Kluyveromyces lactis: one gene and its partner. The main gene of each other region encodes a partner of the protein of the gene in region 2 in a complex. Links are inferred from orthologs where the notes say so. Each region holds a gene or a part of one and is shown on either strand. Other genes may lie near its edges. The genes, in order: NAT5 and NAT1.

Region 1 (16,426 bases), on a different chromosome or scaffold from region 2:
GCCTCATATTTTAACCATTCCTGTGTGCCTAACGTGGAGAAAAAGAGGGTCGAAAGAGTCTTTCAATACATTCTACAAACTGATGTGCAGAAGGGAGAAGAGCTCTGTATTGATTACAAGGGTATATTACACCTTGACGTCAACCGGAGAAGGGCAATATTGAAGGATAATTGGTTTTTTGAATGCAAATGTAGTAGATGCCTCTCAGAGTTGTAAACAATCCATCAATGCGTCCTCAAGTGCTGACTTGCTCACACTTAAATTCGAAAGTTCACTACTAGACTCTTGATTATTGGCTAAGTTGTCCGTCTTATCCAATTTATGATTCATTATTCTTGATGCCTGTAAATTTTGGAGAATGTTGTTGTCAACGGAATTTCGTGACTCTGATGAGGACCGGGTATTAGATGTAACGTCTATTTGGTTCGATAAAACTTTTAGTTGATTTTGAAATAAAGTATAACTCCGTTTTTTGAGAAAGGGTTCTGGTGCACCTAAATCAGCCCCCAATTCCTGCCAATCCATATCCTCTAACGAGTCAATTTTTGAGATTTTGGTCCATAGAATCTTATCTCGACGAGAATCCCAAATAAATGGTTTTGTTTCGACAAAATTTTCAGGTCGTTTACCTGCCACTCTTACGTACACTTTTGTGTTGTCATTATTCATTGTAAATACACCTCACACTGTGGATTTTATAGAATCACCAAATTTCTTCCTATACCACAGAATCTAGATTAGAACAATTTAAAGTAACATTTGCTATTAAATTCGATTAGGAACTTGCGGTGAATGTTGTTCAACTAGATCTCACTTTCATCTCGGACAACTCCAGTATACGAGAATCACTTTAGCTAAAATATGATTATTCATTACGTATCAGAATGATCACAATATCCGGGTAATCATGAATACTAATATACCCAACTATAATCAAGTTTAGCCCAACTTTGCAGGATTGCTCATCGCTATTTCTCATCTGAAGTTTGGTCACAGTATATCACCCATTAATCAAGGATATTACTTTTATACCATTCACATCGTTTACATCAGAAGATATAACTGTGCTACATTAAGGTGACTGTAATCTGATATGATGATTACTTGCAGATGAGTGATATTTTTGGTTCTTTAGACTCCAGCTTAGACTCCAATGAAATCAACATACAGATTAATAATTCAGACAGCTATCAATGCTTCCCAACTCTATTGGATTGTAAAACTAGTAAGAGCCTTCCTGGACTTCGATTTGTTCAGGTGCCAGTACTAAGGTTCTATGGATGTTTATCTACCGGACACAAAGTTCTAATTCATTGCCATGGCATTTTCCCTTACATATTCATCAAATATGACGGACATTCGAATGATAAAGCATCAGTAATACGGAATAGATGTACCAGTTTGCACAAAATACTTGAGACACGGATGATTGAAACTTTTACCAAAACAGATTTTAAAGAGAAGCTAACTTCCCTGAAATACATTGCTAATGTGTCCGTTGTCAAAGGCGTTCCATTTTACGGATACCACGTAGGATATGAACCTTACTATAAAATTACTCTTTTGAATGGTTCATATAGTAATAAACTCTCTGAATTACTTAGAGATGGCAGAATATTCACCTCAAAAGTGGATGTCTTTGAGGCTCATATACCTTATTTATTGCAAATGATGGCTGACTATAACTTATTTGGTTGCGGATGGTTAAAACTATCCAAATGCTATTTTCGGCAACCTGTTCTGTTAACTGATCTAGATATGAATGAAATATTGCACACGGACTCTTTGGAACGTTTTTTGAAAAAACACTTGCATCCGAATCAAAATGTTTTAGACATAGATCCATTTCATCGAATTGGAAAGACCTTTCTTGAAATGGATATTATTCCACAGTTCATTTTAAACAGAGAAGAAATTCAATTCAGGGATTTACACCATGATTTTGTTGAGCTTAAGAAAGACCTTCAAACATCAGATCAAGGATATGTTAATTCTACAAAAGATATATGGAAAGAGATACAACTGCTTAGGAAAAGGAAAGGGCTTGCTGAATATGAAGGATTAAAAGAAATATTTCGAGAATCTCAATTACAATATAATTGGAAAGAAGATGAAAGGTTGGTGAAACACTTTGATGAAGCTAAGAAACGAATGTCTTCCCTTTTTAACAAAGAAAAAGCTTTAAATTTTGACAACTTTGTGGATCCTTTCATTAATGAGAATTTTTTTGCAAGTACCAAAGACGCCCTTCAAGAATTATGGCCCAAAATACCAAGGAATGCTAGTAGTAAAGTATTCTGTTGGTCAGAAGTAGAATTCAAATTGAACAACCAATATACTTCTGTTCGTGAACAAAAAGTAGCGTCTACAAACACTAAAAATATTCCCATTTTGCTAAATATTTCCTCCAATGAATCGCACTCTTCACATGTCAGTTCCAAACGTGCGGAGGAATCTTCATGTCATGACGATATTGCTAATGAAGCAATTGCTAGGAAACTGGCAAAACGAAAAACATCTGCTATTAGAAAGTCAACATTTCGCCCGATGATCAGACCTAGCGTAACACACGCTAACATCAAGGAGAGTTTATCTGCTAACCAAATTGAAGAAGTTCAGTATAACGATCCATTTTTCTCCAATCCACTTGATTGTAAAAGGCTACAAACGGAAATGGCTGGTCGAGTGTTCAAGCTATCAAGTGATCATATCCTCTTTAAAAGAAGCATCCGTAGTAACGATACAACAGCAACATTAACTTCTTCAGGAAGTGTATATGCAAGAAGCAGATGGAAATATATAAGACCAAAGCCGTCTTTTAAAAGAATAGCCAATGCGATGAAGCCTTTCAAAGGTAAATTCTCGATGGTGGAGGGGAAAACACCAGAACTACCATTCGGATACAAGTTCAAGAGCAATAAAATAGAAAAAAATAATAACGCTTCTAATAGAATGACCCATTTCACCATGGAAATTCACGTCAATACTCGTGAAGATAAGTTTCCAGATCCTAAATATGATGCTGTCAGGATGATATTTTGGAAAGTGCAAGATGGAACTTTTCCATTCGACCTGGATATTACTCAAGAAGGTGTTTTGATATTTCTAGACGATGTCTCGACAGAAAATTCATGGAAAACTGCCGATCCTAGTGTTCATATAACTGCTTATTACGATGAATTGGAAATGATATATGCATTAGAAGATTTAGTGAGGTTTTTCGATCCTGATATCTTGTCAGGATACGAAATACACTCTTCCTCGTGGGGCTACTTGATTGATAGATGTCACAAGGGACATGATTATGATGTGGAAGATGAACTCTCTCGAGTCGATTATAACCAGAGTAGCAAAAAAAAAGACAGATGGGGTTACACTCACGCAACAGCATTTTCGATAACGGGAAGACAAATGCTAAACATATGGAGGCCTCTCCGCTCTTCTTTGAATCTTCTCGATTATACATTAGAAAATATTGCATTTCATGTTTTACACCAACGGTTACCTTTTTATTCGTACAAAACCAGGACAGAGTTCTATGAATCTATGGACGAAACTTCAAAAAGGTGTCTCCTATTTTACTGGATCACAAGACTTCGAGTAAATTTCAAGCTTTTAGAGACTCAGAATATAATTGGAAAAACCATCGAGCAAGCAAGACTTATCGGGATTGACTTTTATTCTGTCCTTTACCGTGGCTCACAATACAAGGTTGAATCCTTTTTAATTAGACTTTGCAAATCAGAACAATTCATTCTGATTTCTCCAAGCCGAATGCAGGTCCGTAACCAAAAAGCACTCGAATGTATACCACTTGTGATGGAACCTTCATCTGCCTTTTACAAGAGTCCTTTATTAGTTTTAGACTTTCAATCATTATACCCATCCATTGTTATGGCATATAATTATTGTTACAGCACTATTATCGGAAGAGTTGAATCATTAAATACTAAAAATAATGAAATAGGTATCACAAGGTATGATATCCCTGAAGATTTACTAACTTTAATATCTGATTATATCACCATCTCACCAAATGGTATCGTCTTTGTCAAAAAAGAACTGAGAAAGTCAGTTTTGGCTAAGATGTTAAAGGACATTCTTGATACGAGATTTCTAATGAAAAGTACTATGAAGGAACTTAATGATGAACATAACCTTATTAATATGTTGGATAATAGGCAGGAAGCCTTAAAATTACTTGCTAATGTCACGTACGGATACACATCTGCTTCATTCTCTGGGCGTATGCCATGTTCCGACATTGCAGATAGTATAGTTCAGACTGGCAGGGAAACATTAGAGAGGGCGATCGAGGTTATAGAAACTACTAAAGAATGGGGGGCTAAAGTAGTTTATGGAGATACAGATAGTTTATTTGTTTACCTTCCAGGGAAATCGAAAGATGAAGCATTTGTAATCGGAAGGCAGATCGCTGAAGAAATAACAAGACAGAATCCGAAACCCATAGAGTTGAAGTTTGAGAAAGTGTATCATCCGTGCTTTTTAGTAACCAAGAAACGTTATGTAGGCTTTTCCTATGAGTCTGAATATCAAAAAGAACCAAAATTCGATGCAAAGGGTATAGAAACTGTTCGAAGGGATGGAACACCAGCACAACAAAAAATCGTGGAAAAGGCACTTAGAATTATGTTTGAAACCACTGATTTATCCATGGTAAAAGAATACTTAATTGGAGAATTTGACAAAATTATCACCGGCAGAGTTAATATTCAAGATTTCTGTTTCGCTAGAGAAGTTAAGCTAGGCCATTATAAAAGTGAAAAGACTGCTCCCCCTGGTGCCCAAATTGCCATGCAAATGATGGAAGAAGATGCACGTACAGAACCCCAATACAAGCAGAGAGTACCGTATGTCGTGAAAATGGGAAAAATAGGTGAAACTTTGAGCTCTAGATGCCTCTCACCGGAGGCTTTCTTAAGGTCTAAAACGTCTAGGTTGGATTATACATACTACATTGTCAAAAACATTATACCTCCTCTTCAGCGGTTTTTCCAGTTAGTAGGAGTTGATATCATGGATTGGTATATATCGATGAAACATACTCTTAATCCTCTAAAAGTAGACTCTGATGACGGCAGCCATGAAGGAAGGTCTTTGACTTCAATCGTCAAAGGCAAATCTTGTCTGCGCTGTCGCAAGAAAGTTCACCCAAAATTCATTAGTCCTATATGTGGTGAATGCAGGATCGATAAAAGCAACACCACCCTTTTTTTGGAAGAGTCAGTCAGACTAAAACAGTCTAAGATGCATTCTGTTATGAGGACCTGTCAAACCTGTTCATACAAGTTTCATAAAGATGCTATGGCACCTTTGGACCAAATTGCACTCAAGTGCCAATCTAAAGACTGTCCGGTATACTTCAGTAAATTCAAATACATGAACGGTCTCAAGGATAATGATATGAGAGATCTCTTGATGGGACTGATAGATTTGGACTATTGAATTTCAAATCACGTGACTTTTAAATCAATAAAAACTTTTCTTTTTGCTCATCATGGATTTCGGCAAAAAAATTCAAAAGCGATGAGCAACTGAAATTATAGATCAGCGATGAGCTCCTTTATAAAATTGAATGTTAAAAGCTAGTGAGCACATCAACTCAGGCAAGATTGGTAGTAAGAAAGAGACGGGGTATAATATCATTATCTTAGCAAATTAAAATCGCTTTAAATGCCTGTCACAAAATCGTTGGGTAAAATCCAGAAAGGATTAAAGGGTAAGAAATTTACTGTTCACCCAAAAGGGCGCAAATTCCAGCAGCTAAACAGAGCTACCCTTCGCGAAGAGAAAGTTCAGGCAAAAAAGAGAGCTCACAACGAAAAAAGATCCAACGAGTTAGCGCGTATGACTTTTGTACAGTCAGCCATTAAAACTGATTCTTTGAAGGAAAAAGAAGTATTCGATTATAAGGAAACTGCAGTACTAATTCAAGAGTTTATTGCCCGCGATGATAATGAATTAAATGAACTAAAATCTAAGAGAAGACAGAATAGACCTCCCACTGGTAGGCAACAGCTTTTGCAACATAAAAGAGATTTGGAAATGGAAGAATTCAAGTCAGGTTTTTTGTGCCCAGATCTGACAGACCCTGAAAATGTGATCTTTTTAAGAGCTTGGAATCAAACTTTTGGAGGTTTGAGTACTTTAAAACTGATAAGAATCAATGATAAAGGCGAAAAGGTTCTTGGGGGAACAAAACCTGTAAAACCTATTGGTGAATTAAAAGACATTGAAATGAACTGATAATGTCGATCAATTTCGGATGTCATTTTCTACACACACGGTTGATCAGAAGGGTATTGTACTATAGATATATATATAAAGATTAACTATTCATACATTTTTAATTCTGTTTTTCCTATATGAGTGTCATTCGGATTGTACAGTATACAATATTAATTTATCGATTGAAATAATTAATATAGTCGATTAGTGGTTGGACAACGGCTATGTATCCTAGGGTAATACCAAATAAAGTGATAGCTATTTTTCCTTTGGTCTCTATGAGTGCTGGTCTCATGTAATTCTTCTGGAAGACAATCTTGTAAGTATCTCTGTTCACATCGCCTATCAACTTCCACCCTCCGTTCTCGTATTGATTTATTACGGCCAACAACTGATCAGGTGCTATTCTACCGCCATTTACAACTGCGAAAAGGTCCTTCTTTTGTACATGCACAAGAATAGTGGATTCTGGTGGTTCGATCTTTTCTTTCGATTTAGTAACATCATAGAGAAGTATTTCTCTAACTTCGGTCGGCGCAAACGGGTGTATATATCTTTCACATTTCGAAAGGTATGAGCCAACTGAAGAATTCTTCCTCAATCGAACAGAAGGTAAATGTTCCTGAAATAGCAACGATCCTGATGATATACGTGAAGCTGGCCCTTGGTTGGAAGACCATTTATATTTTCTCTGTTGTTCAAGAACGAACTTCTTAATTTGTTTCTCTTGAGTTTCTGCTCTCTCAAGGAATTTCTTCAAAGCTTCAATGTCTTTGTCCGTAATTGTTTCAGTTTCAGTGTCCTTTTTAGGGTGAGCCACATTGTTATTTGAAGATTTGACCCCTACTTCGTGCTGTGATGGCGTTGGATGTAATGGCCTCTGTAGTTTTGGCCGCTGGCGTGGTTCGTGAAAGGTTGCCGTTTTCTCAAGGTTCTTCAATTCCTTCTGCAAATTGATCGGTTTTGGTGTCACTACATTAATGATTTGATTGGAATTAACCTTAGTAATTGCGTTGTGTATGTCATCGTCACTTATACGCTTCTGCAAAATTAATAGCTGTAGCCTTTTTATTTGCTTCTTTAGTGTATCATGAGGAATCGAAAACTTAGCTATTAACTCCAAAAGTACTCTTCTCTCTCGTGAGGAGTCAGATGGCCATGCATTGTTTGCTATCGTATGCTGCAATGATGTTTTAAATGCTTTTACCGATCTGTCTTTGGGTATAGCGGGATCCAATGCCATATTCCAAGACACATTTCCCTTTGCTAGTTGGAAATAAGTGGTATGGAATGTCCGTTTATGATAGTTTATGCATTTGAGCATCGATGTTAGATTGGTTTCGTTGTTTTGGCAGTTTAGAGGAAATTCTAACAGTGTATCTAAGGCTGGTATCTGGTATTACACTCTCGATTTTAACATTGTTCGCTGTTTCGATCCTGAGATACACAGTTGATTTGAAAATTCCATAGAACTTATAATCCGAAGAAATAATATCTTCAAGAGAGATACAATGACAAGAATTACTGCTAGAAACCAGTACTTTCTGTACGTTGAGAATCAGCAGGTAAGGTATCCATATATAGACAATTGAGAAGATGGGTAGAGCATTGGTTACGATTGATAACGTTTACGCTAACAATTTAGGAACATTCAGAAAGATCATTGATGTTGTGCTACCGGTTCAGTATCCAGGTGAATACTTCGAGGAAGTTGTGGACAAGAATGCGAAAGGAGTATTCTATGCACAGCTAGCATATTACGGGGAAATTGCGATTGGTGCTGTAAAATCCAGATTAATAGCCAATAAGACCGGCGGAGTCAAACCAGCAGGTATGTACATCGAAGTATTGGCCGTACTTGAAGCTTACCGTGGAAAGACAGCTGGTTCATTAATGTTGAAGTATATCGAAGATAAATGTAAGGAAAGCTTTCAACACGATATATACGTGCATGTTGCCACCGACAATGAAACAGCAATAGAATGGTATGAGAAGAATGGCTTTTCCAGGGATGGTGACATTTTGGAAAACTATTACAAGAATACCACTGGATCTAATGATGCATTTGTATATAAGAAGTCAGTATGAATATATATCTACATATGAAAAGCCCTGTCAATTTAGTGATGGTTAATGCGTGCTCAGATAATTTATTAGGAACTGTAAGTAAAAAGTTAATCTGTCTTGGAGGATTTTTCAGTGGTTTCCTCAGTTGCTTCATGTTCATCTTCAGTATCAGTATCTATATCAGTGAAATCAGAGTCCTCTTCTAGATCATCACCATCGGATTCATCAAAGTCTTCGGAGGAATATCCAGTATTTTCTTCGCCTTCATTTCCTGAATCGTCAGAGTCTAGTTCTTCCAATATCTCCTTCTTAGGATCTGTTTCAATTGGAGTATTTTTCACAGTCAATGGAACAGTGAAGTCTAAATCAGAACCAAAGTAATCTGGAGACTTGATAACGACTCTGAAGAAATATGTGCCTTCTTCTTTAGGAGCAGGCTGAGCGAAAGGAATTGAGAAAGTGCCGATGGTCCAGTCTTCAGCGTTAAATTCCTTGTCTAAATCTTTAATAACTCTTTTATCGAAATTGACATCCAAATTTTCTAGGGACAATCTTTGGGCCAAGCTTGGGGTTTGAATTATTTTACCATCCTTTTGTGATACCACTAACGCATACCAGCAAGTACGTCTCTTTGTTGGAAGCAAAGGTGCGAAAGTTTCAGGCAACAATGGTTGTTCCAACAATTTTTCGAAGGGATCCTGTTCCAATAACAATGGATCATCGCCAGCTATTTTTTCAGCTGGGATCAATGAGTTTGGGAAAAGTTTGTGTCTTGGAGAACGAACCAACACTTTAACTTGAATGTGAGGAGTAGAACCTGGTTCTGCGGTATTTAGAGAAGATCCACGAACTTTGAAGGAGCCCTTGACGAGCTTCAACTTAGGAATACGAGACGCTACTTTCAAAGTTTCATTGAGTGCTGTTTCATCTTTTATTCCTAGCATCTTACCTATCTTATCATCTGGGTATGTGAATAATTTACCCAAGGCACAAATATCATCTGTAGTTGAATCCAAGAAATGCTCTTTATCCACGTTTGGTAATTGAAAGATTTGAGAGTGTGGCGATAACGGAGTTGCCTGTACCACTGTCTTATACGTGTCTAACGCCATCAATGCAACTTCAGTGTTCCTAAAAGTGGATGCGATTTCTATCAATTGATGGAAAAGTAACGATGATTTGGTAAGCACATAGTTCCTTGCATATTCGTTTTCAGTCTTTTCACGGTTAACATGGGAATGGATAATGTTAGCGATGTCCACGGAAGACAATTCTGGGAATTTCAATTGGAATTCTTTTGCTTCAGAGATCCATTTAATGATTAAGTCTGGCACAACAACATAAGATGGTTTGAAGTTGAACATTTTGTCAACGAAGTGAGATGCTGTTTCAGAATGAATACCGTGTTTTGTGTACTCTTGCGAAGTGCTCCACCATTTAGAAACTACCATGGGTAACACAAACGCAAGTAGAATGAAATATGCAAAAACAACAAATGGGGAAGTACCTCCTTCCACCAAGAACTTGGGCAAAGCGATACCGTGAGAAGTAGATTGAGGACCATCTGGATGACCATACTTTCTATAATTTTCCTTCGTAATTTCATCAGTTAAAGCCTTATAAGCCTTGTTAATCATCACGAACTGTTCCTCCATAGCCGTTCTTTCAATCTCATTTAGGTCCTTGGAAAGCTTATCGGGATGGAATTTGACAGATAATTTCCTGTATGCAGACTTGATCTCTTTATCGGTAGACGAAAGCGTCACACCAAGTAACTCATATGGATCAAAAGCCGCTGCTGCAATCTGATAGATAGCATCGTTGGAACGAATATGATAAATCAACATCGAAATGAGCACCCAACCAACGGTAATGAAGTAAATTCCCTTCTTGGACCTTTTCTTCTTATTAGCAAGTCTATATTTCCGAACTTCTTCTGAAGTATATTTTTCGTGCAATTGACTCCATTCTGATGAAGAACTCTTATCGCTGGAGTCCCCAACAATCAATCTATACAGCTCAATCAATGTTACCGGTGTAACAGCCACAAATAACACCGTGAGTACGAAAAATGGCCATGTGGTGCTTGCCTCATCGTAATCATAATTCTGCGGCATGGCGTCGTTGTCTGTTCGTCTGCTTGTCTGTTGTAGAACCAAAAGACTGCCAATAAATTAAGCCGCTACAATAAAACACACAGCAGGCAGCAATCAAAAAAAGTGAACCACAGTGTACTATTAAACAAAAAAGCCTTCAAACTGCAAACAATTATTCCTCTGATCTAGAAAAGTAGTTAACAGTTAACTTATTTCGATTTTAATATGCCAGTCTGTATTTTCCAAAAACCTTTGGGTTTTTTTCCTTCTGTTTGAAACACTATACGTATTCAATACGGCAGAGCTTAGAAGAACAAATAGAAGAGAAAGACCAAAAAAAAAAAAGATATTTATACGTCACGTGCTCGTAATATATCACATGACCTTGAATTTTCTGTTTCGATTTGGTCGATCATCTCTTTCTACTAAACTGAAGAATAAAATTAAAAAAAAAAATGCTAAAAACCTAGAAATAATCAAAAAATGTGCTAGTCTCATTGGTAATTGAGATGGGAATAGAGATTGAAAGATGAGGCTCACCGGGTTAACCGATTTGGTTGAGAAAAGTCTTGTGATATAGCGTTACTAGAGTGATGCAAGTTAGTGGTTTTGGTAACGTGAATCAGATTGGTGCTTTGGCACAGCAAAACCAATTGGATAACTTAGTCAGCGTTAGCATTCGTGGATGGACTAACGCTACTCAACAGGATTTGTTGAATTTCATTTCGAGAAAGACCAGGATCTCAGTGAGAAACTCTGTGGTTCAAGGGGACACTATAGTTGGTTATGTGACACCGCAGGAGGCAGATCAATTGGTGAAATTTAGTGGGTACCGGTTTGCAGGCAATTCATTGAAGATTCACAAGGCAGCCGGTGGGAACACAAACCCTAATACGAATGATACGATAACCGTTCTTCGTAATGTGCTTTTGAGAAGATATAATGTGCAAACGAGGATGTTGGATCTTGGTAATTTGTTCAATGATCCGGAGTTGGTGCAACGCGGTATGGCTCCGAAAAATGTTAATACGCAGTCCAAGATGTTCCCGGCTATGATGAAAGTGGCTTCAAAGGAGCCTAGCATGGTTGTTGAATCGATCAACCTATCTGATAATAATTTGAGAGACGTCAATGGTGTTACCACGTTGGCACAGACTTTCCCTCATTTGAAAAACCTATGCATCGCCAATAATAGTATTAGTCGATTCCATTCTCTTGAAGTTTGGAAGAATAAATTCAAAGAGTTGAGGGAGCTTCTGATGATGAATAATCCAATTACATCGGATCGTTTATATCGTACAGAAATGTTAAGGATATTCCCCAAATTGGTGATTCTAGATAACGTTGTCGTTCGTGACGAGCAGAAACTACTGTCTATCTATAGCTTACCGGTACAACAAACCCAGTTCTTTTTCGAAGATAATGGATTGGCATCATCGTCAACAGATTTTATTACCAACTTCTTGAACTTGTGGGATTCGAATAGAATGCAATTGATGGGTTTGTACACTCCACAGTCTCAATTTTCCTTAAGTGTTGATTCTTCCGTTCCAGCTGCTACTGTACCTAATGCTCAAACGACTCCTACATTCGGTCATTACTTACCATTTTCAAGAAACATTTCCAAGATATCTAGCGACAAGACCATCCAAGAACGGTTACGTATAGGGCCCGAAGCAATTTATGAAGTGTTCGGATCTCTCCCTATGACAAAACATTTTTTGCAAGAACAACCTGATGCTTACTCTGTGCAAGCCTGGACCTTCCCACAAGTTCAAGGGTTTGTTATCACTCTTCATGGCCATTTCGATGAAACTGCCAAACCTGAAATTGACAAGAGCAAAACATCACAAGGATCATCTGCCTCTAGAGGAAGGAGATACAACCATGGATTTACGTCTACGCCGAACATCAAACTTTCACAGAAATCCTTCGATAGAACAATGGTCTTAGTTCCAAGTCCAAATGGTAGTGTCATCATTGCATCTGATTCGTTGACGATAAGGCCATTCTGTGATAGCGCTTGGTCTAAACCACCTTCTCCACCACATCTCCAAGCTCAATCTGTGCAACATCAGCCACAAATGAACGTGCCCCTCTCACAAACTCCGCCAAATACATCATCCATTCCTGGCCAAATCCCGGGAGTTCTTGGATCGACACCTTTGCAATTCTCACCGGAAGTGCAAGCAAAATTGTCACCTGTACAATTAGAACTACTTCAGAAGTTACACCTTGAAACAAAGCTTAACGCTGAGTACACTTATATGCTTGCCGAGCAAAGTCTTTGGAACTATGATAATGCTATCCAAGGATTTAGAAACAGTGCAAACAATCTACCCAGAGAGGCATTCATCTAAAAGTATTGAGCTAATCATGTGCGCTTCTTTAAAAAAGAACATCTTAATTCATTCAGTATAATATATAGTTGCATCTCACACAAATAAATTAAACTAAGTATATCCATCTATTTATATCAGTTGGATTCAAGGTGACTTGACTCTGTGACTATTTTTTATCATATATCCTGTTTGTCACAAAGTGTACGTCAATAAAAAAAGGGCCTAACATTCAGAACATTATACTAGCCAATGAACTCTTAAGCAAATTACAAATTGTGATTATAAGCTCACTACAGTTTTGCTGAAAACTCACTATTCCAAGGCAATATAACTACATTAAATGAGATCGATACCAGAACCTCGCCAATCAAAATATAATCGATTTAGAAGGTTATTTAATAAGGTGCATAATTGTGTCACTTTGAAAAGATTGAAAAGGCGATGGAACCTACACAAGTTGAAGAAGAGCTCAAGGAATACAAATCAGAGATCTGCAATCCCAATAGACCGTATTGCTAATCTTCCTACTGGTATGTCGCATAAATCGAGTAACATGAAACCATTGCTTCTAGTATCGTTTAATAAAGGTCAGGAGAATTCGCCAAAGGTGAGAATTCTAGAAACCAATGGACATTTGAGATCTTGGATCAGCGGTAGAAAATTCTCAATGAAACGAATAGTGAATAACGCATCTGTAGAGAGAGATCCTTATCAAAATTCGAGGCACACAGTTAGGCAAGAAGTAGCAAAACACGCAGATTTAAAGGTCAATTATTCTGAACAAGGAATCGTGAAAACTGTCGACATACCGTGCTGTTACACAGAAGATCCGAAGTTGATTAATATAGGACAAGAGCACACTTTTAGAATACGTGACTATCCTTCTTTGAATCCTAGTCAGCGAACGACGAGAAATGGTTTCAGGAGTAGAAATCAGCCTGAACCTGTTTCGCGCTTCTTCTTTGAGGAAGTTGCAGAGACCATGTCCTAATCCATCATATACAGACATATAAATTATCTGGACTTGTAGTACACTAGAAAACAGAAGCATAAATAAATACAAAAATAGTCCTTAATCTCACCAAGGCCTGAACAAATATTCTAATTGTTTACACCGGGTTCAGCTTCCAAACTTCCTATGCATGGGTACTTCTTTTGGAAATGCGCAGCCCATCCTTCTAGAGCTCCCCGCTCTTGCTCGTTTAAGTCCTGGAGAGTATCTATAGGTTGGTCCCAGTGTCTTACTGTATCCAAATCAAATGAGTTTGTAGCAAGTCCTCTGGATGCATCATGTCCAGCAAAATTAGAGTATGGTCCGCTAGGCCCGTAAAATTGTCTTCCTTGGCTGCAGTCGTACACTTTCCCCAAAACTGCGATAAAGATCTTTTCATCGTCATGTCCATTGAATTTGGATAGCGTTCTGGGATAAAACTTTCCTTCCACAATTGGGTCATTTGACTTAGAGCTAGCACCTTCGTTGCCGCTACCACTTTGCGTTAAACCCGTTGGGTCAGCTGTGGTCTTCACAGCACCTGTCAAAAAGTTCTTAATAAAAGACATTTGCTTTAAGATTGAGACTTGATTATCGAAACTCTATGTTCAGACTTAGTTACAACAAAATCAACCAAATCGTAATTGAGAGTCTAATGGTATATAGATAATATTTCCCTCTGGGTCCTTTATATAGAAGATCCAACATTTTTGTATTCCTTTATTCTGAGTTGATCTTTGCAGCGAAATTACGGCCAAACCTTTTTTTTTTCATCAAGAAACTGTTGTATTCGGGTACGTTGACAACTTATGGAAGCCATACGAAACAGTTCAATCAGAGAAAACAAAATTCAGACCGATAAAAATACCGGCAGGAAATTGGTTGACAAATCTATGCACTTTAAAGTGTATCAATTGATACTTGATTACCATTTGGTAAACAGTAGCTTGTCATTTATGAAGACCTTCTCAAATGGGACTCCCATTCATAGTAAAAGTATGAATTCTTTGAAGAGTATATATGTATTGTTTTATAAAGGAAGCAGAAAACATATTTCTGCGGGGAAAACGTTATGCTGATTGGGATTGATATTGTGAACAAAAAAGTTTAAAATGAATTAGCCGTTTCGTCAATAAATGACTGAGCTGAAGATATTAGCAGATTTCCTGCAATGTTGATTTGTTTTTGAGCTTCTTTTAAATTCCCCGAAGTCAATGCATCTCTCACACCAGGGAATGACCATGAATCATAGCCATTAGTTTGGGTCCAGAGCGTTGGTCCAAAGAGAACATTCTTGTAGAATTCTCTATCGGGAATACCACTTGAAAGAGATTGTCTCTTCATAATATTCATTATTTTTTTATTCCAAGTCCATCTGTGAACCGAAACTAACGACGGTTCCACGCCTTCGTCTTCCATCATGACGATATTATTCCACGTGTGTACCCATGCGTTCCATTCGTCACTGATTTTTTTCCATGCTTTCAAACCTTGCTGAATGGAAGCGTAGTCAAAGTTATTGCCACCTTGTTTCTGTAAATCCTGGAATAAAATATCTAGATTTGAAACGTAATCACGGACATTAAAGGGTAGTAAAGGTTCGTCGATAAGTCTTAACAACATTTCATAGGTGTAAATGAGGGTATCTGCGACTTGTTCCCATGCACCTTCAGTTCCCTTAATTTCTTCAGACCAATGTTGAAAATCATCAGAACAAGTTGAAATTGGAGGAGTTTGGTTTAAGACAAATGGGGAGCTTAACACAGCAGTGGGGATGCCGTTCGCCAAGTATGCAGTCCAATCACCGTATTGTGCAATGTTTCTAACGGTTACATCAAACTGTTTAGTATTCTTGAAAAGACTCTGTAATAGTGGTGTTGCCTGGACATCAAGCGCACGACGGGCTTTCGGATCGACACTTAATTGAGAAATATCAATAAATGCATAAACTTCACTTTTTAATTGATTCATTTCGGTTTCCATCAATTCGGTGGCACCTACGTGATTATATTGCGCGCCATCATATGAAATGAAGTAGATATTTCTTAGTGGCCTCCAATCGTACTTATATTTGGTTTGTTGGAATAACTGTAATAGAGCCATCAAAGAAGACGTACCGAAATTTGGATAAAGGGTTCCCTTGCAAGTTGAATCATGACTAGCAGCGATTATGATGGCCTTATCCTTTTGTTCTTTACCCTCTATTTTACCCAACACGTTCCAGCTAGGTTGTAGTGTCTTTTCAGCGTTGGCTAGCCTTAGGTTGCATTTGACATCATCTTTTCTGCCACTAAACCAGGAGTCCTCGAATTTGATACTGGGAGAACCATCATTTAGAATTGATTTAAGTTTCAGACCCTGGTTATACGAGATAGGTATGGTTGGGATGTGCGGTACTAACTGTGACTTTTCCAATCCGATTTTCTTTGGCGAAAGAGTGCTCCAACCAGGAGACAAAGCATCACCAGTACCGTACTGAGGAATCGCTACTGAGAGTTTCTGTATGACATCACCATCATTTCCAAAGGGCTTTGATATAAAAATAATACCTTTGATACCATGTTTTTCAGCGACAAGTATCTGCTCACTAGGTAAGTTTCCATATTTCATAACGAGAACAGTATTGTCGGAAAGTAACCCGTTTTCTTTCAATGATTGGATATCAGCGACAGTCCCATAAT
Region 2 (17,549 bases):
GCTTATTCAGAACAGGTTTTTCCTGAATTCACATTTGAAACTGAATCTAGCGGAAAAGAGTTTCAATTTGGTTCTATTGCGGAGTTGTTACAGGACACACCAATGAGTAGAGATCTAGATTATTCCACAGCTACTGAGACGTCCACGCCACATTTCACCTATATGGCAGATAACTTCTTGGCTAGTAATTACAGTTTGGATGAAATTGCTGCGTTACCGAATACTAATGAGCAAATTACCATTAGTAACACAAATAATAACAAAGGTAACTTGATGCATTTTTCTGTCGGTCAATCGATGTTGTGTTTTAATAACGATATTTTTGACGGTAGAAGGGAAAGCTTTGTTTCCGATACTGTTACTCCGATTAGTTCCAACACAAATTCGCCAAGGAGTAATTCTGTCAATAATAATAAAATTAACAGAATCAACAACATGAGGGCACAGAAACCTAATAATGTGAGGTTTAGTTTCAATCATGTAAATTCATCTCCTTTTGCTGTTGGTAGCTCTTCCAGTATTGCAGAAGTCTCCATGGATTCGATGTTTCCACCCTCGCCCACGAAGACACCAACGAAAATGTTGCCAAAAACTAAGAGAAGGAAATCCTCGTCATCTTCTTCAAGTTCAGTTTCATCTCTAACTCAAGATCTTTTGTCGATGAAAGATAGAAGATGCATCTTTAAACCAGCCCCAAAGAAAAAATCAGAGCTTTATCTAAGGCCAGAAAGAAGATGCCCAAAATTCGAGTTTGGAATTCGGTCGGAAGATAATGTTATCAACGTAACGTTCCAAGGTGGGTTCATCAGAAATACCATCATGGATTGGTATTTCCCCAGTGACAGCGCTCTTCCTTCTAATTTTCAAGATGTGACAATCGAATACGATCATGATTATTACGCTAAAATGTTGAACCATATAAATACCCAAATCGCTATGCAAAATGACCCCAACATTTCAAGTTTCAGGACATATTGGAAAATCTTGAAGTGTCAAACTGGGCCACATATCAAATTGCAGTTCATTTCTGAAACATTAGATTGCGATGTTAATTTTTCGAACACCCAATATTATTTTAACATTGTGTCGAGAATCGTCAGACCTAAAAGTTTCGGCCCAATAGAAAGCGGTGCTAGGTATAGGGCCAAGATGGTGAATGACATGAAATCGGACGATAGTACTGGCAAGCCGAGATGGTGTCATTTTATCACCAGTGCTGAGATGAAGGGGATTTTAGATTTCATCTTTGATGGTCTTGATTACATAGCTAATGATGACACTTTGCCAGATAAATTATCCAAAGGTATAAAACCAAATCCGTTCAAGCAGCATGAATCTAGGATAAGATCTCATATGGTGGGGTATGTTTCCGGTAAAAAATGTATGAAAGATGCTAAGAATGTACTAACTGGTGAAAGGAAAGTCTTTGCCGAGGAAATGTATAAGCAGGTCATCGGATATGACGATAAAAGGAGACCGTATAACACTTTGAAGGAATTTGCTGTTATGGAGGTTAAATATATGATGGACAACATTGAAGATTTGTTTGGAAAATTCTATTGGGTCGATCCCGGAACTGTGCCCACCGGAGGGTATAAAGTCCGCTTCTGAGGTGTTGTGTCATATTTTCACTACCGTAAAGCAACATCTTTGGATAATATCAGAATGAGAAAGAACAGATACGCAGTACGTTTTTTGGTGAGCTCTTTGCACTTCTTTAGTTCTTTCCATCAATATCAGTTGCTTATGCACTTATGACTAATATTGATGTTTAACTTCAATATCTTTAAACTTTTGTTCTTCCCGACGTTCATTAAGAATACTAATACACTTTAATAATTAGTTTAATATTTGTTTCTATATAATGACATTTAATTAAAAAAGATAAAATATAAAAACATCATAATAACTCACCAGAGGTTAAGAACAAAAAAACAAATTAGATATCTGCTAATCCAATATAGTTAAATCAATCTTTCCTTGGTATAATGGGTATATTACATATATTTCAAGGACCGACACTCCTACCAAATATCTAAAATTTACCATATTAACATAACATGTATATAAACGTCAAATCATAATCAGCACTAACATTACCTAAAATACCTATTCATATAAGACACTACCCAGACTTGGTTTGGAAATGATTATAGCATCTTCTAGTTCTTCTGCAGTCAATTCTGGAAATCTCAAGTTGTAATATTGTTCAGTCAATGCACTCTTGACAGAGTCAACAGTGTCAGTAGAACATAAGTGTACTGTACAACCACCCCAACCGGCACCAGTCAAACGAGAACCGAAAGAACCATTCTTCAAAGCAATTTCACAAATGGAATCGGTCTCTGGGCAAGAACATTCGTATAATTTGTCACAAGATTCCTGCGATTCATTCATTAGGGCACCAAATTCTTCGAAGAAATTGGATTCACCTTTTTGGAACAATTGTAAGGCCTTCAAGACTCTCAAAGCCTCCGAATAAACATGCTTAGCACGTTGAAATAACTTCAATCTTTGGAAACGAACAGGAAAGTTAGTTAGATATAGTTCAGTGAACTGAGAGATAGATTCACACCCGCACAGTTCAACGGCGTGATCTAGGGTGTATCCATTCGGGTCTAAGGTTTCTTCTACTAGTTGCAACATTTTATTCAATCTTTCGATACCAGTTTGAATTTCGCCATCCCATGGCTTACGGCACGATTTGTCATATTTCGTGTAATATGAATCCATAAAGTTTCTTAGGGTACCCTTACCTAGGTTACCTTCAGTTTGTAAGGTAACACCGAATTTCTGAGCCAAAACGTTAGCAGCGACGGTGACTTCAACAACTCTCAAATTATAATTGACAGGTCCGGTTTCCGCCTTATTACTAACCACAAGAGTGTTCGCAATCAAGAAGGAAATTGGCAAATCTTCTGGGAACTTGAACGGAGTAGCCTTCAATTCTGGTTTGAACTCCACGTACAAAGCGTGACCCTCGATACCACAAATGGAGGCTGCTTGATCCATACCACCGTTATTAACACCGACATGATGTTCCGCTACAGCTGTAGTCTTTGTCAATTCATCCTTGAGGATTGGCGTTCCTGCAGGAACATTAGAGTATATGATTGCCAAAGAAACCGCACAGATGAAGGCAGCACTTGAAGACAAACCACCACCGCTAGGAATGTCACCCTTGACGTAGATTTCCATACCATGAACTGGACCCTTGAAGTTGTATTTCTCTTGTAAGAATTGTTGAGCGACTAGGAGGCCACACTTGAAATAATTGGACCAGTCTGACACTGATGGGTCAATTTCAATCAAGGATCCATCCAATGGTAAGTCGAACTTACGCTGAGCAAAATTGCTATCATGATTAGTCAAAGTAATGGATGGATTCTCGCTTTCAGAAGTTAAGCGGCACGCTAGCATCAAATCGTTTTCAATAGCCATTGGCAACACTGAAAACTGACAATAATCGATATGTTCACCAATCAAATTAACTCTACCAGGAGATCTGGTTATAAAAAACTTCCTGGAATCATCTGTATCATAACATTCCACAAATTCATTCTTCAATTGTTCCAATTTTGGAGCGTGAGCAAAATCTGTTGGCACAATAGGAACGGACATTATTATTTCTTATATTTCAGCCTTGTTTCAAACCTGTTGTCACTTAAAAGGATTCTACGATCAAATTTCCAACTTTATAGGTTGAATGATATTCTCACCCGTCTATTGAAAGATCAAACCTGGTATCAAGATATGTCTCGAACTGTCAAACCTTTTAAATGTAATTTCAATTCAATAGAACGGTTCTTTTATAGACCTTTGGAAGCCTGCTCCATCATTTAACAGAACGGCTACCGAGTTTTCTTCGGATCACTTCAATCCGTATCACGTGATACATACGGATTGAACGAATCCGCTCTACGGAATACACCAATCCGGAATGAGCGGAAGACTATGCCCCGGATGCCCCAGATTTTTCGTTTCTCAGCAGGCAAGCTACCGACCGTACTATTGGTAACGAGAGATGAGTTAGGAATTAAACACCGTGAAAGAAGGAAAGAAACAGAAATTACTAATAAGTTGCTATCATAACACGACAACCTGCTTGCCTTGCACCTTGAAGTGACATTGAGGATCAAATCCCCTTTACTTAAAACACGTATGATTGCATGCTCAATACGTATATAAACACTGAGTCCAGGCAATTGAATCCAAATAAGAACAGAAGGCAAAAACAGTAAACTGCCTTCCTTCAATATAATTGATATAATAGACTACCATTTGAAGGATATCTCTTATAGAAGCTGTCACTAAGAAGGACCAATAATCTGAATCAGGTTAAAGGAAACTCCTCGAAGCCAAAAAAAAAAAAAAATCAACGCTAAGATGTCTGAAGATAAATACTGTTTGGTGACTGGTGGTGCTGGTTACATTGGGTCGCATACTGTTGTTGAACTTTGTGAAGCTGGTTATAAGTGTATTGTTGTTGACAACTTGTCTAATTCCAGTTATGAATCTGTCGCTCGCATGGAATTGTTGACTGGCCAGGAGATCAAGTTCGCAAAGATTGATTTATGCGAACTGGAACCATTGAACAAGTTGTTCGATGATTACAAGATCGATTCCGTTCTACATTTTGCCGGTTTGAAAGCGGTTGGTGAAAGTACTCAGATTCCATTGACTTATTATTTCAACAATATCGTTGGTACTATCAACCTTCTAGAATGTATGAAGAGTCACGATGTAAAGAAGTTAGTCTTTTCCTCTTCTGCCACTGTTTACGGTGATGCCACTAGATTCGAAAATATGATTCCAATTCCAGAGACCTGTCCAACAGGTCCAACTAACCCATATGGTAAGACCAAGTTGACCATTGAAGATATGATGAGAGATCTACATTTCTCTGATAAGTCTTTCTCCTTTGCTATCTTAAGATATTTCAATCCTATTGGTGCTCATCCATCTGGTGTCATCGGTGAAGACCCTTTGGGTATTCCAAATAACTTGTTACCATTCATGGCTCAAGTTGCCATTGGAAGAAGACCAAAGCTATACGTCTTTGGTGACGATTACGATTCCGTCGATGGTACGCCAATTAGAGACTATATCCACGTTGTCGATTTGGCAAAGGGTCATCTAGCAGCACTAAAATATCTGGAAAAATACGCTGGTACTTGCAGGGAATGGAATCTAGGTACCGGTCATGGTACCACTGTGCTACAAATGTACCGTGCCTTCTGTGATGCTATTGGTTTCAATTTCGAATATGTTGTCACTGCTAGACGAGACGGTGATGTTTTGAACTTGACCGCTAAATGTGATCGTGCAACAAATGAGCTAGAATGGAAAACGGAACTAGACGTTAATAAGGCGTGTGTGGATCTGTGGAAGTGGACTCAAGATAACCCTTTCGGCTATCAGATTAAAGGTGTGGACTCCAAATTCTTTGGGGATAAGGGAGATTTTTCATCCAGAGTTGTATCTCTAGGTAAAGGTACCTCATTCGAAGTTAAACTTGCTAACCTTGGTGCTACCATCGTTGACATTGTTGTTAACGGGTGTTCTGTTGTTGCATCGTTGGATAATGAAACCGAATACAAGGATCAAAGCAATCCATTCTTCGGCGCTACTGTAGGCCCCTATGCTAACAGAATCGCTAATGGTACCTTCGAAATCAATGGTAAGAGGATACAACTAACTGTGAGCAAAGAAGATGGTAATGTAGTTCATTCTGGAATCAACAGCTACCACTCTAAGAAATTCTTAGGTCCAATCGTTAAGAACCCGGAGGCTCATATTTGGACTGCAGATTTCAAATACGTAGATGAAGAAACTGAATTTCCGGCCAGGTTGTCCACTTTGGTAAGATATAAAGTCGACAGCGAAAAGAAGACTTTGACTGTTGAATACGAATCAAAGGTCGCGGGCCAAGGCTCTACAGGTGCCAACATCACTAACCACACATATTTCAACTTGAACAAATTCAATGAAGCTACTATTAAGGGATCTAAAGTACAATTGATCGACAACACCGGTCTCGAAGTGAATAACAAGTTGCTCCCAACAGGAAACTTAAAGAAATATACCCAAGTGGCTACTTTCAATGATTCCCCAACTGAAATCACAGAGAAGGAACCTGTCTTAGATTTCTGCTTCGTAAGCGGATTACCTGCTAAACTAGATACAAGATCTTCTCCGCTAACACCGGTGTTTAAACTATCTAACGAAGATGCTAAGTTGGAAGTGGAAGTGGCTACCACTGAGCCAACTTTCCAGGTCTACACCGGTGATTACGTCGATGTCAAAGATAAATACGAAAACAGAGCTGGTATTTGTTGCGAACCCGGTAGATACATTGACGCTGTCAACAATCCTGAATGGAAATCGAGCGTCGTTCTTCCAGCGGGAGAAACCTATGGCCACAAGCTTTCTTATACTTTTAGGACTTTGTGATGGAAATACATTTGACATAGAAAACACTAAACCAAATAAAAACTTAAACACAATAACATGACATGATTGTTGATATATGAGAGTATGTTTCTTGTCAACAGTTTTCTTTCTGAATCAATATATACACATACTACATAGTTTTACCTTTTACGACTTATATTGCATAATTAAACCCCATAATAATAAACAAATACCATTGACATGACAGATAATATTTTTTTATTTCCCACATGTCGTTCCTAACACGCAGCTACATGACAGTATCGAACTTCGAATGTGATCGCAAACCAACGTGCTTGTGACCAGCTGCATGCAAGCAAATGACGATGATGATAAAAGTTGTGTCGGACGACAAAGCTTCAGTGTCACCGGATTTGGTTCAGTTATTATTTTTCATTGGATATGGAAACTTCGGAGTTGAGTGGTCCGTTCCCGTCTCGGATGATTGTGGTCCGATGGACAAGCTGATTCGAAGGCCCTTTCGTTCTCTTTACGGCAGGTTAGCAAGGCCGTAAGCTCATCGCTTGGGTATGTCCACGAGCTACACTCTCTGTACGGATAGTTTCTTAGCACCGTCAACAAGATTAAGGAACTGAATGGTGTATTGTTTCATTATGGTACAGGATTGCACCGGAGCACTGTATTTGTGGAGCTACTTGTGCTAACAGCACGAGAGTGCCCAATTTATTTCATCAAGTAAGTTTAGCTGCGAATATATAAAGTAAAGCTGTAGATGGAGGATAGACTTGTCATTCGAGAATTGGTTTGAATTGGATTCAGTTGCGAATAATTCTTTTAACATACAGATATAGAAAACCAATCATCAACATTGATTGATACGAGCAAAACAGAATAACAACTAACATCAGCGTTTTCAAACGGTTAATATAATGTCTTTTGACTTAACAGATCACTCACATGCACGTTACAATCCATTGACTGATTCTTGGATTTTGGTATCTCCACATAGAGCCAAGAGACCATGGTTAGGTCAACAGGAGAAACCTGGTAGAAACGATGCTCCAGACCACGACGATAAATGCTACTTATGTCCCGGTACTACCAGGGCTACAGGTGAGCAGAACCCAGATTACGAATCTACATATGTCTTCACTAACGGCTATCCAGCTGTGAAATTAGAACAACCAGATCCAGAACTGACGGTGTCGAATTGCGACGCATTGAAGGAGAGATTGTTCAAGTTGAAAGGTGTGAAAGGTAACTGTTATGTGATCTGCTTCTCTCCAAAACATAACCTAAGTTTCCCACAAATGGCTCAAAGTGAGATCATGAATGTTGTCAAAACGTGGACTAACTTATTCCAGACTTTGGAGAAAGAAGCCTTGGAAGAGAACAAGCCTTATAAATATCTACAAATTTTCGAAAATAAGGGTACTGCTATGGGTTGCTCTAATTTACATCCTCATGGTCAGGCTTGGTGTTTAGATTCCATTCCAAGCGAACCTGCAAAAGAGTTTGACCACTTCGAGAAATATGAACATCAACATGGTGCTCACTTGTTGGAAGATTATGTCAATTTAGAACTTCGCGAAAAGGAAAGAATTGTGTGCGAAAATGATTCTTTCTTGGTTGTTGTTCCATATTGGGCCGTTTGGCCATTCGAAACCATGGTCCTCTCAAAACGTCGCATCCCATCCTTGAATCAATTTACTGATAAAGAAAGGGAAGATTTAGCATCTATCATCAGAAACTTGACCATCAGATATGACAATCTCTTCGAAACGAGTTTCCCATACTCCATGGGTCTTCACCAAGCCTCTCTCAACGCTACCGAAGGAGAATTGAAAGCCGCTTGGTTCCATATGCATTTCTATCCACCATTGCTAAGATCGGCCACTGTGAGAAAGTTCTTAGTAGGGTTCGAGTTATTAGGACAACCACAAAGAGATTTGACTGCTGAACAAGCAGCAGATAGACTCAAAGCCCTAAGTGGTGAAGTACATTATTTAGCAAAACTTGAGCAGGAAGAAAGCAAAACTTGAGCAGGCAAAGCAGAAAATATCCGTATAGGAAAACTTATTTACAAGTTATACTCACATAAAATTTCCAAACTTAGTCACATTCGTAAGCTTTTAGATCCTACCTAACGTTACTTAAAATTCATATTCTAATATTGAATGCTGAACGACAGGATCTTCGTTGTCTAGAACAGAAATGATGTCTTCTTTAATTTCTGGTTCTGGAATGGACTCACTCGAATGATGATAAAGTATCAACAATGATGGCAAGGTTTTGCCATATGTGCATGTTACAAATTGTACCTTATCGCCAGATTCTGACAACAGATCAGGGAATTCCTTTTCTATACCCTTAATGGCGACTTTCTTGGCTATGACATCATGTGGATAAGAGTCTTTTGTGTTCTCTAAAAGCACCAATGCCATACTTGCTGCAACAGAATCTTTACCATTTAACTTAACATATTTTGTGAGTGCGCCCAGAGCCAAAGCTAGCTTACCAGTTCTCAAATGGAATTCAAATTCCAGCAAATGTCTTCTCGTATCATCAGTGGTTTGGGATAAATATAGTTTCAAAAATTGATTCTCGAATAATTCCAAAGGATTTGGATCATTGAGTAAAGTTTCACCAAATGGATCCTTGTCATCAAGGTAGGCAAGATACTTGGCCTTTTCTTCTTCCTTCTTTTTATTCAAAGCAGCAGCTTCTTTTTTGGCCTTTTTGTTGGTCTTCTTCTTGATAGAACTGTCATCATGCTCTTGTTCAACTGATGCAGTTAGTTGCAAAGAATCAAATCTTCCGAAAATTATCCTTGAAGCACCTTCCATAGCCCTAATAAACATAGGCAAAGTATAGAGGTGGTTTCCCCATTCAAGCATATTCACGTAGGCTCTTGGTGTCCCTTTTCTCATACAATAGGAGTGGAAATCTAATTGATCATCCTCAAATTGCTTGTAAATCTTAGGAATTGCCATATAACGTTTTAAAGAAAGGCCCTCAAACTTATTAACATTGAATTCCAATTCTTTTAGAAGTTTTCCATGAGATTCTATCTCATCAACGGTAAGTGCAGTTATATCTTTATTCTTCAAGCCGATTAATTCCTTGCAAGATTTTTTATACAATCTGAAGAAGCTCTCAGCTTGTTCGATAATGAACCAAGAGGCTTCTAGGAGGTGTAAATCTGGTACACCATTTGGAGATTGGTCGTTTTTGGTAAACAATGACACGATCTTAGTAGCCTCATCAATTTTATCAGCTCTTAACATGTATTTTACAGTCTTTGCATTAATAAATCTATCTTGCAGGTCAAGTTCGCGACCTTTATCAATAACTTCTGAAGCTTCTTCCAATAGCCCCAAATGCTTCAGGACTCTGGACTTGAGAATATATACCTCAACAAGAGTTGGAGTGTGGTTCATTGCTTTGTCAGCATATGCATTAGCCTGCTCGAACTGCTTTCTATGCAAATAATGTAGAGCCAAAAAGTAAGTTGTCCAAACAAATTGGATTGGTTGATCAGTCGATGATAGCTCAGCATAATAAGGTAATACAATACTTTCAACAATATCCGGAATACCTTCCTTCTTGTAAAGAGGTTTGATGTTATTGAATGTGGCTGGAACACCGCGATTTAACTGCGTTATGATATAATCATTGAGTTTCGCGGTTAATTCTACCTTATCTTTGAGGAATGTGAGCGGAATGAATTTAGGAGGCTCCGATTTAGGGTAAAATATAGCCAACTTTTCATATAAAGCTTTCCTCAACTTCTCATTTCCTTGAATTCCAAGTGAAACTTCCAATAGCCTGTAATATCTGAAATTGTCTGGACTTCTCTTAATCAAAGTTCTGTACACAATAGAGGCTTCCTTAGACCGACCAAGTTTCATTAAAATAGAAGCTTTCCTCTCTAACCAGCCATATCTATCATAAACATCGTCGGAAATCTTTTCCAAATGCTCTAAAACTCTTTCCAAGGATTCTTTATCGTTGCCTGCCTTCTTGTACAAAAGATCATTCTTGTACATGATACATTCGTTGTTCTCATACATTTCTGGTTCACCCAACTTGCCTTCAGCAAGCTCTTCAAATGTCGAAAGAGTATTGATTGCGTCTTGCGTACGCCCATTCAAATCTTGTGCTATGGCCAATGAGGTCCAATTGGCACGATATCCTCTGTAGTTTTCCCAGTACTTTTTTCTCGATTCCAGCGCGCCTTTGAAATCATGAATTTGAGATTGCAATGTCGCCAAATCTCTATAGATTTGAGTGTTTGTAGAACCATTTTCTAATGCGGCCTTGAACCACTTTACAGCGTCTGAGTAATTTTTCACCTGTCTGTAATAAATTCCTAATAAGTGTCCACCAATTGGACTTACAAGAGTGCCTTTAATTTTGGATAACGCTTTATCAATGTAACTAGCAGCTTCTTCAGGTGTACTACAGAATTGCAAGTTCAATCCCTTCAAAATTATAGAGTCCACATGACTGCTGTTCTTCTTCAAGATTGTGTCCAAGATCTTCAACGACTTCTTGTAATTTTTACCTTCATATAGTTGCAGTGCTTCCAACATATTGCTGTCATCCTTAGACCTACCAATTGGAAGTCCCACTTTCCCGTGAGATAGTCCCTTTTTTTTATACATGCTAGTGTAGATCAATGGGTCGCTGAGTGTAGATAAGCAAGCCAGTAAGAGTGTTTCTCCATTTATTCAGTCATGAATATGATTGTTGAACTTGATAATTTTCATGATTTAGACGTTGACTATTGTAAATTTTTCAGTTTAGAGATACATTGAAAATGAAATGTTTGGGTTTGAACGAACTGAAGGTAATAGTTAGCAAGCGGAGCTGGTACGATTCAAGGAGTTTATTACTCACCTACTGCAATAAAGTTAAAACATGTTGCAATCCAATGATACTTTTGATATAGTTACATACTCACATTTACAAATATTTTACGTAATTAAAGGGAAACAGCTGACACTTTTGAAACGTAGGGTTTCTAACGAGTTAATGTAAAGATCAAAAACGGAAGTCAGGCTCTTCTTCCACTTTCTGTTTTTTATGTAAGACATTATCATCGTCCTTCTCCTCTACGCTTGTTGATCGTTTGTTCGTAATATTGTAAGAGGTAGTGGAACTGATTATTGTAGATCCGTCGACTTCGTTTGATTTAGCTTCCGTTAGAACAGTAAATAAGGGTCTATTTTCATCATAGTGCTGGTTGACTACAGAGCCTCCATCAATTGGCACTAAGCCTGAATTATTGTTTTCATGTGTCTCGCTTTCTGTTTTTGTTGCTTCCGCTTCATTGGCGTCTGAAGACACCTCATCGTCGGAAATTGATTCGTTCAACGGATCTGGATCAATATGTGCGTCTTGATCTTCTAATTCTTCAAATGAGAACATGGCTCCGAATAAGTTTTGTTTGGGTATTCTCAAAGTATCTTCAGGGTAGTATCCGTATTGTGTACCGGTAAGATTAGAGATTTCCCAATTTATTCCACAGACTTTCATACCAGGGTATGATTTGGGTAGTCCTAATCTATTCATTTCATGACACCAAGGCGGGAGCATCCCCTCCGTGAGATTTAATGCCTCCCTTAAAGTTTCCGATAGATACCCTGGTCTATATCGTGTCTTTATTTGTTTCCATTCGAGTTCACTATCCAAACTTCTGTTTTCATAATATAAATCACCAAATGACAATAGTTCAGGTTTCCAATTCTTTCCCAAAGTGAAAAATGCTTCGTACAACCTTTTATAATCTAGATCTAATACACCTAGCTTGGGTTGAACTTTTGCTCTGGTAATATCCTTCAATTTCTCTGCTTGCTTTTCGTTTCCAGAGGGAACAGTCTCTCGCATCGTTTCAATATCGGTTTGTCTAATAATCTCAGGTAATTGAAATGGCTTCCTTTCCATCATTGATCGTCCAGATAAATAACCTCTTTTCATTTGCCAATGTCTGGGGATCCCCACTGTATTATGTGTTGTCTTTATAGCTGCATTGAAATAAGGCCATTGCGCATCGCAGTCAAACCATTCGATGAGTTCCGGATATGGTACTGAAGCTTTCAAAACAGCAATACTTGGTTTGTTAGCAAGTCTCTTTTGTCTTTCTGATATATTTTGAAGTACTTCATCCGCTTGATCCTCAAAACTGTCGGAACCCTCAGCATCCTCATCGTCAATATCAGCCCGTTCTTTTCGTACTATGGCTTGTTCCCGTTTTGAATCATCATCCTCATCGGCCCCTGTAGCCGAAGCTTTAAATCTTTGTAACACTTTATTGAGACTTTCATCCTTGATAACTAAAGGTTCATTAATTACCTGTTGCGAGGTGTTGCCATTCTCTGATGACACTTGTTGTAACAAACTGGAAAGCCTCTTCTTCCTTTCTTCTGCATCCTCTTTCACAGATCCATTTTTATTCTTTGAACGGCGTTTATTAGCCTTGGCTTTCTTTACCATAGTGCAATATCTGGTGGGCAGTTGACTGTTGTTATATTAATAAGCAGTCGAGCCAGAATACTATTGTATGCTCATCTGTCAATTTGCCTTTTTTATGTCCTTTATTAAGACCACATATATTTTTCAATTAAATGTTGAAATTTATACCATTATATTATACGTGAACAGATATGGCAACATTCAACGGTCTTGTATACATGTGATAGATGCTATATGACTATGGATAATAACGAATCACTCTTCTAAATTCTTGAGTCTATCGTTGATTGAATCGGCGAATTTGTTAAATTGTACATCATCGTCATTCACTTTCCGCAGTAAGTCCTGTAACTTTTGCTGAATATCTGAGGCTATCTCAAACACGGTGGGAACATCTTCGTTGGAATTACCACTATTTTCTGATCCTTTTGGTTCAGGGGTAACAATTGGTTGTGTCGAAATCATCTTTTGAAGTGATGACTGCATGTATATGGCTGTATGTAAGCTAGATCAATAGACTTCAAGGTATGTCGGTTCTATGACATTTACATTTTTTTTAGTTATTTGAATCCGATCCAAATTTTGGTGATACAAATGATACATGGAGGTGATGAGACTAACAATGGCGAGAACGCCAGCTGGTCTATTTTGTCCATGATAGCCTATTAGGTATACAGATGAGTTGGAAAGGGGTTTTTGCAAGTTCATTTCCCAAAGATACTTTACAGAAGTATATTGCTGCCAATGAGAGCATCGCCAACTCTACCGTTTTTCAAGGTACGCTATATGAGCTCACGGTGGTACGAGAATTAATGAATAAGCTCCGACTGGAGGATATGCAGGTAGTTGGCGGTTCATATGATGGCGGCATTGATATTCGGGGCAAATGGAACGTTTTACCATTAACAAAGGCTATAGAAATGCAAATACAATTCGATGAGCTACCTAAACGTTTGAAACTTCCGACTACATCGATAAAACCATGGAAACATAGGGTGAAACCCGATAAATATTTAGACTGTTACATTCAATGTAAGGCTTTCAATTCAGATAAAGTTACTGGCCGCCAGGTACGGGAATTAATTGGATCATTCTCCATGCAAGTTCCCGCTCGTAAAAGAAACTCGAGCATAATGATAATGAGCTCTCCAACTTTGTTTACAAAAGATGGAATAAGGCTGTTTAATGAGGCCGCAATACCAATGGTATTTACCAAAGTGGATATGATCCAGAGATTAGCTGATGGAAGCTTCGATGTGAAAAACTCGGGAAAACTACAGCATTATTATGAGAATGACTATGCATCGAAATTACTTGCAAATTGTGGAATCAAAGAATGGTTAAAATTGAAAGGTTATGAGTCCTTAGCACAAAAATGAAATATTAGCACGCAATTACGCTATCAGAAAAGTTTAAATAGAATGAAACCTGTACATATGATGAATGTAATAAATATGATATGCTAATTAATTTAAAGATGTATAAATTTATAAAGGTTGTGTATCTGATTATGCAGCGCATGAAAACGAGATAGGAATGTATATAGTAGCCAGGTTAAAATTATGTATTAATGATGTCTCGATGTTGAAGGGAAGGCGTAAGTTTTAAAACAAGTTTGGGAATAGTTGTGGATGGCATTTTAGAATCTCTTCATATTGAAGCCCACTGCTAATGTCTTGGAAATCATATAACATATAGCAGAGACAAATGACGTGACACCGCACCAAATTACATAGTGGTCATAGCCCTTGAAACTCTTTTCTGGTCCGATGATGGCACCTGTAATAGGAACTGCTACTAAAGTACCAAATGCGACAACAAAGTACATTGTAGAATATCTTCTTCCGAATTCTTCAGTCTTTGAGATTTGTCCACAGCAGACAGGTAAGATACTGAAGATACTTCCGGAAGAAAATCCATAAATGGCACTGAATGCGAATAACACCGCTCTGGTAGTGGCAAAAGGTAACCACATCACAAAAGTTATTATGCCAAGAAACACTAGCGTAATCATTGCAACGTTAAACCTTCCGAAGATATCACTGAAGAATCCTGGTAACCATCTCCCTGGTATACCGGCAAGGTTAACTACCATGACCAATAGATAACTATCAGATTGCGATAGACCTTGTTTCATTGCATATGAGGTGAAGTAGGTGATACCAGAGATTATGCTAATTTCACCAAACACAGTTCCCATGACACAGAAAGTGTACTTCAAATCTTTGAAACCGAAGATATCAAAACTTTGCAAGATGTAAGTGTTGAAAACACGCCTCCAAGTAGGTATTGCTCTTTCACGTTCATTTAACTTTTTATGTGGCAATCTCTCCTTTGCTAAGACTAAAGCGACAATCAATAGGAACAAATTAACAAATCCTAAAGTTCTAAGGCCCCATACGAAACCATAAAATGGGTCCGAGTCCTTCTCCATTGCAAAGAACTTTCTTAGAATAACAGGGAAAATGACACCACCGATGGAACCGCCAGTGGTAGCTATTGCAGTTGCGGTACCACGCTTAACCAGGAAGTAATGAGAAGGCACACTGATCAATGGACTCATTAGAATACCATTACCAAGTCCGGTAACGATTGAAAAGGACAAGATGAACTGCCAGAGTTCAGTAGAATTAGCCATACCAAAGAGCCCACCAACATGCAGTACAGAACCAACAATCAATGGGCCCTTGGCACCGTTTCTGTCAAAATAAGTTCCTGAAAAGATGCAACTTGCGAAATTAACAAACGAAAAAATGGAGAAAATCCAACCTACGGTAGATGATGAGGTACTCGACAACTGGTTTCTTTCAATAAAGTTTTCCATGACACCAATAGTGTTCAACATACCGAAAACTGGAATAAACCCGCAAAAACAACCGAATATCACCAACCATGCGGCAAACCCACCTTCCGGATAAAACAATCCGTCATCCTGAATGAAGCTGGGTCTCTTTACGCCAGACTCAACAGGCCTCGTTTGCTCGTTATAAGTTTGAGTAGCCTCAAGATCAGCGAACTTGTTATCAACGTCCACTTCTTTTCTCATCAATAGCTGCCGGGACGATTGAGGAGACAGCATAGCTGGTCTAGAAATCTTTTCAATAGTCACTTCTTCGGACATTTTTTCCTCAATGGGTAGAGTATACACCTTATGCCTTGAATTCTGATTAGCAGTGCTAGCATGGTGGCCTCTTGAGTATGTCTGAGAGAGTTACAACTCTCTCTCTGTAGCACTCATTGCTCATCGCTTTATATGTCAAACATCGAATTTTTCGAACGGCGTTCGATATCCGCTTTTCCTTTACGAGGAAAGAGTCACACTGGGACCAAGATATTACATAACAGTAAACATTGCACCGGGCTGAAAGTTGATGCTGACATTGAATTGAACACTAAAGTGCAATGCCCGCAATGCCCAATTTACGGTACGATCGACAAGATAAATTTGTAAGTTGCTCCCTTTAAACCTGGTTTACAAGGATCCTCACTAACGTGACGAAACTTTCTACAAGCCGGTAGAACGCTCGTTTGACTGCATTTGAGTCCACATAAAGCAGAAATTGTATACATAAATACCAAATAATACATTACTCACGTGTAAAAAACCACTATCAGGGCCCTAAATGCCGGGACTGGCAACCTATATTGTTCGTTTTCCCACAGGAATCTCGAAATCTCAAAATTTTTTTCATCCCATTGAAGATGGAAAAGAAAAATCTCTAAACTTGGATCTTTGAAAAGATAAAGCCTTAGAGGAGAAACCTTGACTGTTTGTTTCATTTAACAAAATAGAATTGATTTGGGTGTTTTCCGTTTTTCACTGGCTCGGAGTTTCGGAGAATTAAGGCTGAGTCTTGATTGCTAACAATTATAGAGTCAATTTGTTTTATTCTTTTGAAGTAGGTCCAGGATCGAACTTGTATAAATCAGATAGCCTTTCGTTAGATACTTGAGTCATCTGTCGAAGAGAGAAGCATCAACATCAAAACAGTGAGGAAGCACAAGAGCTAAGGAACTAGAAGTTCAAGGAAGGAAACAATGTCATCCCAGCCAGTTGAATTGAAGAAGAAGCCAATTTCATTCTCCAACATTTTGTTGGGAGCCGGTTTGAATATGTGTGAAGTGACTACTTTAGGTCAGCCATTAGAAGTGGTCAAGACCACTATGGCAGCTAATAGACAATTCACGTTTTTCCAAGCCATTAATCACATTTGGTCTCGTGGTGGTGTATTTGGGTTCTACCAAGGGTTGATTCCATGGGCATGGATTGAAGCATCTACTAAGGGTGCTGTGCTATTGTTCGTATCTGCAGAAGCTGAATATCACTTTAAGAAATTGGGATTGAACAATTTCGGTGCTGGTATCATGGGTGGTGTTTCTGGTGGTGTAGCACAAGCATATTTGACAATGGGTTTCTGTACTTGTATGAAGACTGTTGAAATTACCAAGCACAAGAGTGCTGCTGCAGGTGCTAAGCAATCATCTTGGGCTGCCTTCAAGGAAATTTACAACAAGGAAGGTATCAGGGGTATTAACAAGGGTGTCAATGCTGTTGCCATCAGACAAATGACCAACTGGGGTTCTCGTTTCGGTTTCTCTAGATTGGTCGAAGAAGGTTTGAGAAAATTCACTGGTAAGACTAATCCAGATGATAAATT

Evidence for each region.
Region 1: the proteins of NAT1 (region 2) and NAT5 are in contact, whole or in part, in a cryo-EM structure (PDB 6HD5), measured with the Saccharomyces cerevisiae proteins. The link is inferred for Kluyveromyces lactis from reciprocal best matches to the Saccharomyces cerevisiae genes NAT1 and NAT5. Residues at the interface, in NP_010244.1 of Saccharomyces cerevisiae: Pro376, Thr377, Gln378, Pro380, Ile381, Ile384, Asp412, His413, Thr414, Pro415, Thr416, Tyr421, Gln446, Leu447, Asp448, Leu449, Gln450; in NP_014896.3 of Saccharomyces cerevisiae: Asn14, Asn15, Leu16, Gly17, Met18, Lys21, Val25, Tyr66, Ser67, Ile69, Pro70, Leu99, Asn101, Tyr102, Lys105.

What each region holds. Positions count from the first base shown.
Region 1 is NC_006039.1:842,648-859,073, reverse strand, and holds NAT5 (peptide alpha-N-acetyltransferase subunit NAT5), read left to right. Parts: upstream 1-7,845; coding exon 7,846-8,337; downstream 8,338-16,426. Other genes in the region: SET6 (Set6p), read left to right, coding at 1-216; ATG29 (Atg29p), read right to left, coding at 205-669; REV3 (DNA-directed DNA polymerase), read left to right, coding at 1,111-5,466; TMA16 (Tma16p), read left to right, coding at 5,695-6,267; MRX4 (Mrx4p), read right to left, coding at 6,425-7,573; protein-transporting protein SEC63, read right to left, coding at 8,424-10,433; MEX67 (Mex67p), read left to right, coding at 11,006-12,772; OSW1 (Osw1p), read left to right, coding at 13,095-13,745; DAP1 (Dap1p), read right to left, coding at 13,856-14,314; KLLA0_C09735g (uncharacterized protein), read right to left, coding at 14,853-16,426. UniProt on the Saccharomyces cerevisiae protein: N-alpha-acetyltransferase that acetylates the N-terminus of proteins that retain their initiating methionine. Has a broad substrate specificity: able to acetylate the initiator methionine of most peptides.
Region 2 is NC_006042.1:779,399-796,947, forward strand, and holds NAT1 (peptide alpha-N-acetyltransferase complex A subunit NAT1), read right to left. Parts: upstream 11,082-17,549; coding exon 8,568-11,081; downstream 1-8,567. Other genes in the region: KLLA0_F08371g (uncharacterized protein), read left to right, coding at 1-1,611; GAL1 (galactokinase), read right to left, coding at 2,110-3,621; GAL10 (bifunctional UDP-glucose 4-epimerase/aldose 1-epimerase), read left to right, coding at 4,387-6,453; GAL7 (UDP-glucose:hexose-1-phosphate uridylyltransferase), read left to right, coding at 7,344-8,456; U2 snRNP complex subunit CUS1, read right to left, coding at 11,461-12,912; BIL1 (Bil1p), read right to left, coding at 13,147-13,377; RRG7 (Rrg7p), read left to right, coding at 13,569-14,270; MCH5 (riboflavin transporter), read right to left, coding at 14,531-16,012; YHM2 (Yhm2p), read left to right, coding at 16,930-17,549. UniProt on the Saccharomyces cerevisiae protein: Non-catalytic component of the NatA N-terminal acetyltransferase, which catalyzes acetylation of proteins beginning with Met-Ser, Met-Gly and Met-Ala.